3 linked regions of the Tribolium castaneum genome follow. The protein of the gene in region 2 binds, or shares a complex with, the protein of the main gene of each other region. Links are inferred from orthologs where the notes say so. Each region holds a gene or a part of one and is shown on either strand. Other genes may lie near its edges.

The links. Proteins that work in one complex are often made in the same cells at the same time.
Region 1: the proteins of eEF1gamma (region 2) and probable elongation factor 1-delta are in contact, whole or in part, in a crystal structure (PDB 5JPO), measured with the Homo sapiens proteins. The link is inferred for Tribolium castaneum from reciprocal best matches to the Homo sapiens genes EEF1G and EEF1D. Residues at the interface, in NP_001395.1 of Homo sapiens: Tyr9, Trp13, Arg14, Phe40, Gly41, Asn44, Gly56, Lys57, Val58, Ser104, Val107, Pro108, Ser111, Thr112, Phe115, Ile120, Met121, His123, Asn130, Glu134; in NP_001123527.1 of Homo sapiens: Ala2, Asn4, Phe5, Leu6, His8, Glu9, Ile11, Trp12, Phe13, Lys15, Phe16.
Region 3: the proteins of eEF1gamma (region 2) and elongation factor 1-beta' are in contact, whole or in part, in a crystal structure (PDB 5DQS), measured with the Homo sapiens proteins. The link is inferred for Tribolium castaneum from reciprocal best matches to the Homo sapiens genes EEF1G and EEF1B2. Residues at the interface, in NP_001395.1 of Homo sapiens: Leu146, Lys147, Thr148, Arg149, Thr150, Phe151, Glu155, Arg156, Pro185, Asn186, Arg189, Leu192, Thr193, Asn196, Gln197, Pro198; in NP_001032752.1 of Homo sapiens: Ala20, Asp21, Lys22, Ser23, Tyr24, Tyr28, Val29, Cys50, His51, Arg54, Asn57, His58, Ser61, Tyr62, Glu65.

Annotation. Positions count from the first base shown.
Region 1 is NC_087403.1:8,552,315-8,556,854, forward strand, and holds the start of probable elongation factor 1-delta, read right to left. Parts: upstream 3,290-4,540; 5' UTR 3,133-3,289; intron 3,018-3,132; exon of another isoform or gene 3,012-3,017; 5' UTR 3,007-3,011; coding exon 2,920-3,006; intron 2,708-2,919; coding exon 2,630-2,707; intron 2,541-2,629; coding exon 2,462-2,540; intron 2,416-2,461; coding exon 2,194-2,415; intron 1-2,193. Other genes in the region: uncharacterized protein CycE, read right to left, coding at 3,856-4,095, 4,147-4,364.
Region 2 is NC_087402.1:7,326,624-7,331,287, reverse strand, and holds eEF1gamma (elongation factor 1-gamma), read left to right. Parts: upstream 1-1,788; 5' UTR 1,789-1,937; coding exon 1,938-1,949; intron 1,950-2,067; coding exon 2,068-2,217; intron 2,218-2,272; coding exon 2,273-2,488; intron 2,489-2,686; coding exon 2,687-2,981; intron 2,982-3,396; coding exon 3,397-3,444; intron 3,445-3,496; coding exon 3,497-3,957; intron 3,958-4,004; coding exon 4,005-4,160; 3' UTR 4,161-4,281; downstream 4,282-4,664. Other genes in the region: putative lipid scramblase CLPTM1, read right to left, coding at 1-428, 479-562; cnir (protein cornichon homolog 4), read right to left, coding at 4,312-4,378, 4,429-4,664. UniProt on the Homo sapiens protein: Probably plays a role in anchoring the complex to other cellular components.
Region 3 is NC_087399.1:8,215,091-8,218,270, reverse strand, and holds elongation factor 1-beta', read right to left. Parts: upstream 1,781-3,180; 5' UTR 1,734-1,780; coding exon 1,645-1,733; intron 1,599-1,644; coding exon 1,031-1,598; 3' UTR 990-1,030; downstream 1-989. Other genes in the region: Hap40 (40-kDa huntingtin-associated protein), read right to left, coding at 1-261, 308-372; ND-75 (NADH-ubiquinone oxidoreductase 75 kDa subunit, mitochondrial), read left to right, coding at 2,049-2,358, 2,408-2,978. UniProt on the Homo sapiens protein: Catalytic subunit of the guanine nucleotide exchange factor (GEF) (eEF1B subcomplex) of the eukaryotic elongation factor 1 complex (eEF1).

The sequences.
Region 1 (4,540 bases), on a different chromosome or scaffold from region 2:
TAACTCAAAATATCTAATATAGTTTTTGAGTTAGAGGTAACTTTATTTTAAAAATTTTTAGTCATAGTACGTAGTGGTCTTTAATTTTAAGCCAGTTTAATTTAAACAAGAATTCTACCCCACTTTTAGCGTAAGAGGGTAGGGGGTGATTTGGCGCGACAAGGGCCCAGAGTTGGGCGAATAGTATTAGTAGGTTAGCAGTAAGAGAACCCTGTTGACAGAAGACAAAATAAAGTTGTTATTGTTGGAAGATGGTGTTTTAATGCAATAAACATACAGTCCACATTTAAAAAACTGTATGTTTATTCGCATTAAAACACCACCTTCTAACAATAACAATATTTTCTAACATTCTAACAATAACAAATTATTTTGTCTTCCGTCAACAGGGTTCCCTTACTACTAACTTACTAATACTACTGCTCCCAATTCTGGGCCTTTGTCGGCCCAAACCACCCTCTACCCTCTTGTGCTAAAGATAGAGTAGAATTCTTAACATACATCATCCCCTAGAAATTAACCATCCTTAATTAGAAATTTTAAATGAAACCCCCTGCTTTTTGAAGCTACCCCTAACTAAAAAAAGTCAACAAATATTAGTTTTCTCCACGCTTAACTTTATTGCCTCCCATCCAAAAATGTTTCAAAAAGTAGAGAGAGCTATTTAAAATGTTAAAGAAATGTAGGTTTTTAAACTCTACCCTCGCAGACTAAAATATTGTTTGTCTTAATTAAATAGGCTTAAGATCTAGTAGAATAGCAAAACAAATTATTATAAAGGTCATCTATGACTGTTAGACGCGATGTGTCGTTGAATCAAAATTTTGAATGCTGGCAAACAAAAGCAAAAGCGCTTCAAACTTAGAAACTACAGAACATACACAAGAAAATACAAAAACGTAAAACACAAATAAAGACAAACGATACAATTGAAACAACATTGCCTAAAAAAAATGAAAAAACAACTAATTAACAGATCTTACAGAGATGACAGTAAGTACTCAGAAACTACAGCAGTCATTTGAACGAAGCGGTATTGAATTTAGATTCCATAGTCGACTTATTGATGAAGAAGCAGATTTGCACACTCTAGATTATCAAGTAATTAAACACCAAATTATGGAAACTCAAAAAAGCACACAGCCGAATTGCTGCACAAAATACAGGGTAAAATATAAAAATATATTTTTGAAAAAATATTCTTTGTCACTTTTGATCGTTGTTAGAGTCTTTGTCACACCTCCTTTTTGTCGTATTTTTTTAAATCGTTTAACAACACTGAAATCTTCACAAACGTCATCAGCACTGCTTTACAGTATCTATACAGCGTGTTAAGAAATGGTTTAGCAAAAATTTGAAGGTAGATAAAGAATGGCAAAACAAATCGATTAGGTATATTCCCAAAAAATCATTCTGAAGCTAAATTCCTAAATTTTGAGAATCGCTGAACTGGAATTATAAAAATTAGTGTATATTTTAAAATTATTGACAAAACGGCAGAGGTGAATTTACTTTTTGGTCCACTCTGTAATTCTTCTATTTCAACTAGTAAATTTAACCGTCAAAACCCTTAGCCGATGAAACCAATTTCAATAAAGATGATATTTAATTCGCATTGCTAAATAATTTATTCTCCCTATGGAGAATAAAACACAAACACAATTACCGAAGTGACAAACTGTAAACAAATATCTGCTAAAATTTGCAAATAAAACATAGTTTTGTTTTTAACTGGAGCCATCTTTTCTTATTTTTATTTTAAGCAATTGGATTCAAATTGAAAAGTAAAATTATGTCGTTTGAGGTCGGAGTACCTACCGATCCCAAACCGAGGTTTATTGCCATGACATTTTCAAATCACCCTACTGTACTTAATATTGACGAATGTAAAATTTTGAATAAATTTTGAACATAATAAACCAGATATCTATCTATCTATCTATATTCTTGAAATTCGAAGTTGCAATCATATTATGATAGAACCGAAAAACGTTCTTATAAAAACGGCTTACGATCAATGTTTTCCTACACTGTTAATAGATGTAATACATCTGTTAACATTTAACTGATAAATCAGTCACTGTTAGTCAAATAAAAAAAAGTTAAAAATGCAAAAACCATACAGCTGGTTTTGCATCTACACGACTCAAATATGAACCAATTTGTCAATAGTGAAATTGTTATTGCGTTTACTTTTAGACTTTTTCGCGTTGTAAGCAGCCAGACGCTCCTCCCTCAGCTTGGCGGCGGCTTCGTTCTCCTCCTCGGATTCGGAGCCGAACAGATCGACGTCGTCGTCGTCGTCAGCGGCGGGTTTCGGGGCTGGTGCAGGTTTGGGAGCGGAATTGACGCTTTTCTCGACTTTGGAAAGACGCAATTCTAGCTGTTTTATGCTCTCCACCATCGCGTTAATAGCTGTGGAATAATTATTAATTTGGGTTTGAGTGGTTATAAAGCGTACTTTTCTCAAATTCGACGGCCTTTTTCTCGAAGAATTTGATCGCGCCGTGATCAGTGGATTGGGTCTCGGACGCAGGGGCCTGTAATTTTGAGCCGTAAGACAATTGGTCATTGAAAGATTGATGGGTTAGTATGGGATGCAAATGGGTTAAGTCAAGCCTTTACTCACATCTTTAAAAGAATCCCTACTTTGAATAAGAAGTTGTCGCGCCTTGGCAACTTCGCCCGCCAAAGGAGTTACGGACGCCTACACCAAACAGAACACCATTATGTTAATACCAGTACGTCTCGTACTCGAAAATAAACACCCAATTAGTAGGACAAGTGTCACCTAGACAAGAACAATACTTTTGCCGATTTTCCATATGAATTTTGTTAGATTTTGAAGAAATGGAAGCGAATTGAATACTACTCTAAACGGTTTTATTTTTGCACGGTTTCACTGTTCTAGCCACTTACCTTTGCCAAGTTCTCGTAATACTTTGTCTCTGCGTCCTCGTAAATTGATTTGGTGAGCCAAATATTCTCGTATTGCATGTACTCCATTGCGGCTAAAAGTATTTCAGGTTAGAACACACGTGTCGTAATTTTGAAACAAACACAGTCAAGACTATCAAATAACTACTAACAAATTCAATCTTGACTTTGGCTAACTACGCCTACAAAAATTACCTAGAATTTTTGCTGTTTTTTAATAGATTTCTTGTACTCTGTTATATGGGGAGACAGCTGTTCTCGAAAAGGTTATGTCGACAGGGTCGCCAACACAAAAAATAAAATCCCCAGACCCGGGAACACATTTGATTCAAATATGTTTAAATATTTCCAAGTGTTTCGATTAAAACCTAAACTCAAGGACTTATCTCTAAAAGAATACCAGATGTCATTTTTTGCAAAATTTTTATTTGGGCAAGCAGCCATTCCCCAAACTCAAGTAGTACCAAAACAGTTTATTTCAAATTCCAAATATACAAAAATATGTATAAAATACAGTCTTTTTAAGTGACTACAAGACTCTAAATTACGATTAAAATAATCCAAAACAATTTGCTTGACTAAAACTGGAACGACACCAAACGCTATAAAAGTTACATCATAGATCTCGCGTCACGCTAAAACAATTAAGTTAAAATCGAATATATTACAATTGACTAATTTATGCTAATAAATATGATTTGTCTATGACTAAAATTGAAGTGAAATGTTTAGCAAAAATTTACAAAGGTTACAACGCTTCTTTACAAATAGATCTCAATATTTAAAACTATTGATCACAGTTTAGAAAAGGCACTAGTGTAGTGAGATAAATAATACGAACGAGGAAACTAACACTTAAGAACAAGTCATAAAATACACATCTTAACTAGTTACGAACAATAGTAACAACATAAACCCCTAACTAGAATCCTTACTCCCTTCTTGGCCTAAAATAAGCTCAAAAATTTCGTCCAAAGTCATCAAATTGTGGTCAACAGTAGTAGCGCTGGCATCCTCTTTTGCCAGCTCCGTTAAATTCTCAAGTTCTTCAGTCAAATCAACCGTTTCATTGTTTTCCTCTGTTGCAGGAACACTTGTGGTATCTTCATTAGCAGTAGAAGGCCGTAATTTATTCAATCTGTAGATTGTTGCTGTCTCCTAAACAGATTTGTTTAGAAAAACACAAAAACAAAGTCAAACAATACTAACAAAGTACTCCATGCTGGCAATGTGGGTTTGAAACGAGTAATTTTCACTTTGGGGTCCCGATTGCACCCGGCGGAGAAGCCCGGCCGAAAGTCGGCTCATTTCCTCGGGATGAGGGCCACCGAGACAGGAGTACAGACGCGGATCGGGGGCGTCTTTAATAATTATGTAGAACACCTCCATGTAGTCGACGCAAGGCTCCAGTTGCGACCAATCGAAACCTATAAATTGTTATTAACTTTTTGATAATCTTACTTCTGCTTAAGTTTGAACTTTTCTCTTTAATTTTTTCATCGAAAAAATTTGATTTCAAAAACTAAGCACAGAAATTTACATCAACATAATTAGCATTAAAAGCTCCAAAAATGTAAAATAAACAGTAGTGATTCATAAAAAA
Region 2 (4,664 bases):
GGGGCTTTCGGGTTGGGGCTTTCCCCTTGTCGCGTCACAAACGCGTGCAAGAACAACGAACCGTTGTTTCGAATATGGTCCGTGACCGTGATGTTTTTCTCGATAAAGTAGGTCCCGTCCTTGTTGGGGCCCGACGTCCAATCGCCGTAGACAAGGTTGTCCCGATACCAAAATAAATTAGAGGGGTTATAATCGTCCAGGTCTTCCTTTTCGGAGATGTAAACATGCAACGTGAGAGGGGTCCCCTCGATGAACATGTTCTGTGCGGCGAAGGACGGTGTAGTGACCCCCGTGTTGTTGGTCTGCGGGGGCGCAGGTTTGCGGAAGAAGGACGTGATGAAGTAGATGATCAAGGCGCGGATTATTAGCGATTTGGTGATTGCGAAAAATGACTCCATTCGGGTTGGCTGATGCTGCGGTTGCTGGGGCTAGAAATGGGGGCTTAGGAGGATTTGTGCGATTTTATTGATTTGCTTACTGCATTTTGGGTCGGTTGGGTTTCGTCCGGTTTGGCCACTTGGCCGTTGGCTGACGGATTATTCTCGGCTTGGGGATCAGCCATTTCGTGTCAATTTCTCAATTCTTTTGAAATTTAATTAATCATTGACCACATCACATGAACGAAATGACTTTTCGTTTTGAATTTTATGAGGTTGGTATCGGTAATGAGTCGTGGTTAGGGCAGGGTAGCCAACGCGAACAGCGGACAGGGCCGGGCTCAGGCAACTTTTATACAAAATATCCTTAATCTCTGTTCATCTAACAATCACCAAAAACATAAATTAATCGCACAACCAAAGTTACAAATAAAATAAAAAAATAATAGTGTTTATTCAATAAAACAAACACAGAAGAAAAATTCGACTTGACATTTTCCAAAGCACTCTTCGCAAAAATGATTTCTTGCATGTAAGATTCAATCATATCACGTGATGATACATCGTTGTCATCAGAAGTAAAAACACTTATAACAAATACGAAATGCAAATGTGGCATTCATAAGAATACCCAAAGTTGAGTGTTGCAACTCTGTAATCAAGAACGCCTTGGAAAAAATGACGAAGGATTTAGATTTTTTTGTAAAAATTGCCTGAAGAATGTTCTACTTTTTCTTTGGTATTTGCTTGTAAAAAAAAAAAAACAAAAATTAGAAATTTTTGTGTTATTTTTTTAGTAATTCAAAAAAAACGACACCAAATTTTTTTTAGATAATTGAACAGGCTGTAAAAACAGAGTAAAAAGTACTATATTTTGGCTTTAGTTTTTTAAAACTTTCCAAAGTATGGCAAAAAATGTCTCTCTGTTAATAAAAAGTGTTTATTTTTAAATATTTATATTTTTTTTCTTCTTTTCTGAATTAACTAATAAATGTTTTTTTCTTTTTTAAAGACTATGTCATAGGCAGAAAAGCCCAAAGTTAAGTACCCCGAGGCGGCAATGCACCTAAATACGTTACTATGTGGAATTATCAAGTATTTTTTATTTATTCAAGGAACAAAGATACCACGCGATCATCGGAATTTATAATTAGAATAGACGTTTTTTTTGTATATAATGTGTATATAATTGATAGACAGGTGCATTTAGTTCTTCAGCTTAATTAATTATTATAATCAGCGTTTTCTTGGTTTTCATACAAGATAAAAAGTACCTTATAAAGCCTACTAGAAAATAGGCATTTAATCCTTTAGGGCAGAAAGTCTAAGTACGGTTCTGTTATTTTTAGTGGGCCTTTTTAAAGAAAAAAAATAATTTGTATAATTCCTGGAAGATGTGTGCAATTTAGTGTTGTTTTTTGCACAAAAGCGGGCATTTCGAGGCTGTAAAAATCGAAAAAAAAAGGCCTAAGCCCGACACGTCACCAGACCGCAAGCCCAAAATTCCCTATGCAGCTGTCAAACTCTTCAAGTCCTTTTCTGTGAGAAATTGGACGAGCAATGGCTGCAGGAGTAAGTATTATCGAAATTTCCTCAAATATCTCGCATTTATGACACAATCATCGGCAGAAAACCGTTGAATAACCCAAATCCGGCATTATCTTTGACAGTTTTGTGTTTATTTTTTCAGACACTGTACACCTATCCCGACAATTTCCGTGCTGCTAAGGCTTTAATCGCTGCCCAGTACTCCAAAAGCAATGTTAAAGTAAGCCCAAACTTTGTGTTCGGTGAAACCAACAAGTCGAAAGAATTCTTAAAGAAATTTCCCAGTGGAAAGGTGAGTCTGGACGCGCTTCAAAATTGAGGTTAAGTCACACTGGACAGTTGTATAGGTGCCAGCTTTCGAGTCAAACGATGGCAAGTATCTGCAAGACAGCAACGCAATTGCTTACTACGTCGCCAATGAACAATTGAGAGGCAAGTCGGAGTACGAGAAAGCCCAGATTTTGCAATGGGTGGGCTTTGGAGAGTCGGAGATACTCCCAGCTGGCTGTGCCTGGGTGTTCCCCATTTTGGGGGTTGTCAAGAAGAACGCCGCCACTGAGGAGGTAAATTACGTATTTTCTCGCGTCCTCCTTCAAAGGCAAATTAACCAATCCGGTTGGTTGATTTGTAACTCAAGGAGGTATATTAAGACAATTACCCATTACTGAGTGTCTCGGTGGCGCTCAGTTAAGTTATATTATTGTAACAAGTGATTTTCGCCCAGTTTTGTCACTAGACTGACCCAGTTTTCGTGATTCTAGGGATATGCAAGAGCCAAGGAGGACATGAGGGCTGCTCTGGCAATCCTAGACAGCCATTTGCTTACCCGTACTTATCTAGTTGGGGAACGTATCACTTTAGCTGATATTGTTGTAGCTTGCAATCTTTCAAATTTATACAAATATGCGTTCGATCCCGACTTTAGAAAACCATTCGTCAACGTTAACAGATGGTTCACAACTTTAATCAACCAACCTCAGTTTAAGGCCGTTTTGGGCCAGGTGCAATTTTTGGACAAAGTTGCACAACCTTTCACCGGCGCGCAGGGAGGTGAAGGTAAGCCAAAGTTTTTTTAACGGTTCAAATGATCAGTATTTAATTCTTTTGCTGCATAAAATTCTATGAGTAAATGGTCTTGTTTATAATGTATACCGTACTATGGAGAGTTAAATACTAGGAAGCAAACGTCGGTACTAACTCGATTTCTGTTTCCTAACGTTAGTGTGTAATAGTTGTTTACCTAACGAGTTTGGAAAGTGCAAAAAGTCCGGGGACTTTTTTTATATTCCTAGACTTTTTTTGTCTTCAACAGTATTTCTAGTATTTTGATAAATATGCGACGGTGTTCAAAGCAATTATCGCAATAAATGTGTTGCATCCTAGTGTCCATATGCTGCACATAATGGATTAAGTACTGTTCAGTTTATTGCAACCTGTGTTAAATCCCTTAACCCAAAAATAATTTTACAAGCTGCTAATACTAACAGTATTGTTGCGGAGAAAAATAATAAAAAGAAGAGTAAGTTAAGTGTGGTTTTATTCGTCTTGCTTAGTTGCTTTTCCACCAACAGGTAAGAACAAAAAGAAAGAGGAGAAAAAAGAGAAGAAGCAGCAGCAGCAGCCTAAAAAGGAAACACCAAAAAAGGAGAAAGAGCCCGTTGAAGAAATGGATGCGGCTGAAGCAGCGCTCGCTGCCGAGCCCAAATCGAAGGACCCCTTTGAATCCATGCCCAAAGGGACGTTCAATATGGACGATTTCAAGAGATTTTATTCTAACGAAGATGAAGCCAAATCAATTCCGTATTTCTGGGAGAAGTTCGATCCTGAAAACTACACTATTTGGTACGGGGAATATAAGTACCCTGAAGAGCTCACTAAGATTTTTATGAGCTGCAATTTGATCACCGGAATGTATCAGAGATTGGATAAAATGCGCAAACAAGCCTTTGCCTCAGTTTGTCTTTTTGGTGAGGACAATAACAGTTCAATCTCCGGGATTTGGGTGTGGAGGGGCCACGACCTCGCATTCACTGTACGTTGATTCTGTGTTTTTAAAATTGGTTTGATTGAGTTTTGTAGTTGAGTCCTGACTGGCAAATCGACTACGAGTCGTATGATTGGAAGAAATTGGATGCAAAATCAGAAGAGACTAAAAAATTAGTTGCCCAATACTTCTCATGGACTGGCACTGACAAAAAGGGAAGGAAGTTTAACCAGGGCAAAATCTTTAAGTAAAACCTGAGGTGTAATATATTTTTTTTACAACCATGTCCTTTTGATAATTTAATTTAAATCCATCGTTTGTCAGTTGTTTAACCCTAACTGTTTTTCTTTCAATAAAACGCTTTGAGGATAATTTATGTTTTATTTGAATAAACCTATTACACTATAAGTCGGCTTCAAACTGATCGTCTCTGTTGAGGGGATCACCTTTCAACAAAGCCACAATCATGCTAAAAATAAACAAGTTGCGCAATGTTTGATATAAATAGACACAACTCACCAGTACAGATACGCAAAAAAGAACAGTAAATAATATCCTAAATAAATCATACAGTCCCTCATATGCTTCTTTAATTGACCTCTATTGTGAATCTCTGTGGGGTCATAGATCCCCAAATTTCCACTTGGCACTGATACTAACTCATACACCATCCAAAATGCCATTGGCAAGTTTAGCAGTGCTAAAATCCAATGGCCGTGAATTAAAAACAGAAACGATAAAAACCCATGAGCTAT
Region 3 (3,180 bases), on a different chromosome or scaffold from region 2:
CCCACAGCAGCCTCCAGGTTCTCCTGACAAGGGCTGGGGCACCCCAACTCGTGGTCTTTCGTCTCAGCTGATAAAAACTGGCGCGCGGCTCGCGTCAAACAAGACGCCTCACCTGGGGTGTTCCCCAAAGACCCCTCGCACCTTGCTGACGAAATCCAGCACATTCCGGCATAAGCTGGCAGTTCTGAGGCTTCGCATTGTTTCCCCAACGAACTGAACGACTCGCAGGCTTCTGTAACGTTTGGCTTACGCAGGAAGCGCCTACAAGGGGGCACTTTATATTTGCATGGTGCATTAAGGGGCTCACTTTTTCAGTTTGCTCGAAATCGTGTGATACTGGTCCAAAATATCGCCAGTTGGTTCAAGACTCATCTTGTATAACCTCACTTTTGGGCAGACATAACCTCACAAATTTGAATTAGGGGTAAACAATCATGAGTAAATTTAAGAAAAACGAAACCAAGGTGACTCTTGTGCGGAATACCGAGCTGCCGGTGCCCAAAACCAAACTTGTGACTGACGCTAAACGCGAAAATGTAGGGAAAAAGGGAAATCAACGGAAAGAGAGTGAACCAAATTTTGAGTTTCCGGAGCTTAATTCGCTCAGAAAAATATCTGAGAAAATCGAGAAGGTCAAAAGTGCGACCAGCACTAAGGTTTCCAATGTTGCGTTATGTGAAAAGGTGATTGAAACTTGTTATTTTCATGAAGTAACATTCTACTTTGTAGGTGACTCGAAAAGTGAATTTTCCCTTAGACAAACCAATTTATAAAGATTTGATACCACTAGAGGTGCCCTCTAAATCACCACCGGTCATAACATCGAGGGAACCTTTGCCCCAAAAAGACAAAGAACCGGTTTTATCCAACTATGTGAAACCCCCAGAACCAAGAGAATTTTATTACCAACCAAATACCAGACTTGACTCTCAATCATCACAATCACAATCCGGGTTTAGTAATTTGCGCCTTTATAAATTAATCCAAACTCATCAATAAACGCATTTATTCATCTTGAAAAATTACATTTTTAAATCTTATTAAAGGCTGCAATGTCGACAGACTGGACGAAATCCTCAAACTCCTGAATCTTCTCGACCAACTCATCAACAGACACCTTCAAGTCTTCAACCACGCACATAATTTGCAACTTGTTGATTCCATAGCCCACAGGAACCAACTTGGAGGCCCCCCAAACCAGCCCATCCATTTCAATAGTCCTGACATTCTTCTCCATCTCCTTCATATCGGTCTCATCATCCCAGGGCTTGACATCAAGCACAATACTTGACTTGGCAATAAGTTCCGGTTTCTTTGACTTCTTCTCAGCGTAGGCCTTCAGACGCTCCTCCCTTATTCTGGCAGCCTCCGCATCCTCTTCCTCGTCAGACGCGAACAAATCGACATCATCATCATCATCTTTGGTGGTCGGAGCTGCAGTTTTCATGGGGCATGCCCCCGAAACCCCCAACGACTTCAGCTCCGCAGGAGTGAAAGACTTGACATGGTTGTACCAACGCAAAGCGTGGGGCAAATTCGCAGCTGGGGCCTTTTGGAGCTTGCCAAACGCGTCCAAGTCGGCCTGAGACAACGAGTAGCTAAAAGCGAGGTTAGGTGGTGTGAAATTGATTATGAATGACCCACCCTTCGATGTAGCTGCGACTTTCGAGGAAACTGTTCAGTTCCTTCACACCTTTGTCGGTTTTGAGGTCGCCAAAGCTGGGTTTGCCCATTTTTTGAGTGCAAATGTGAGAGTGACCACGCCAGTGACAGATGGTAACGGAAAGAGAGTTTTTTAGGTTAGTTCAGTGCCACCAACTTTAGTAATGGACGTCATTTTTTGACGTTTGTTATTGAAAACACAAAAATAAGGTAATTTAAGGAAATTGGCACGTTTTTGTCACAAACAGTTTATTTGAAAATCATTACGTGGTTACGTTATAAAATTTTGTTGGATGTTTATTTGTGCTTTGGTGTAAAGTTGGGTTATAAAACCAGTCAATTATGTAATGGACATTTGCGTCAAAAACTTCTATTTCTTGTAGAAAATGCTGCGTACCACCCTTTTAAAAGCCCTCACGGGGTCCAAGCTGGGCCCCAAGCACATCACCGTCCTGTCTCGGGCCGCGAGTGATGTTGCTAAAAAGCCGGAAAAAATCGAAGTCTTTATTGACGATCAGCCTGTTTTGGTGGAACCTGGGACCACCGTCCTGCAAGCCGCGGCTTTGGTCGGTGTGGAAATCCCCCGATTTTGCTACCACGAGCGTCTCGCGGTTGCTGGTAACTGCCGAATGTGTCTCGTGGAAGTGGAAAAGTCCCCCAAACCTGTGGCGGCTTGTGCCATGCCTGTTATGAAAGGTAATCAATTTTGTTGCCCAAAAATCGTACTTTAGGTTGTGACGTTTAGGGTGGCGCATTAAAACCAACTCCGAGATGACTAAAAAGGCCCGTGAGGGGGTCATGGAGTTCCTTTTGGTGAACCACCCCCTCGATTGCCCCATTTGCGACCAAGGGGGCGAGTGTGATTTGCAGGACCAGAGTATGGCGTTCGGGTCCGATAGGTCACGGTTTACCGATATAGACTTCTCGGGGAAGAGGGCTGTGGAGGATAAGGATATAGGGCCTTTGATTAAGACGATAATGACGAGGTGTATTCACTGCACGAGGTGTATTCGTTTCGCGTCCGAAATCGCAGGGGTTGATGATTTGGGGACGACGGGACGGGGCTCCGGTATGGAAATTGGTACTTACGTACAGAAGTTTTTCTTGTCGGAGTTGTCGGGAAATGTGATTGATTTGTGTCCCGTGGGGGCGCTGACTAGCAAGCCGTATAGTTTCACAGCGAGGCCTTGGGAGATAAGGAAAATTGACTCGATTGATGTTTTGGATGCTGTTGGTTCGAATATTGTGGTCTCGACAAGGACGGGCGAGGTGATGAGGATTATGCCGAGGACTAATGAGGAAATCAATGAGGAATGGTAAGTCCATTATTAAAAAACGTTAACGAAAAAACGTTGCTTCGGAAAAATAAATCGATTTAAATCATTTAATGGCGTAATGGAGGTCTAAAAAAGCGGAGATTTTTTTGTCTTGTTTTGGCGAAATACTTGTAGCAGTTTCATTTCCTTTGCATTCACTTCCTAGTATAATTTGGGTGTAATTTGCTTTTTGCGTTTAAAG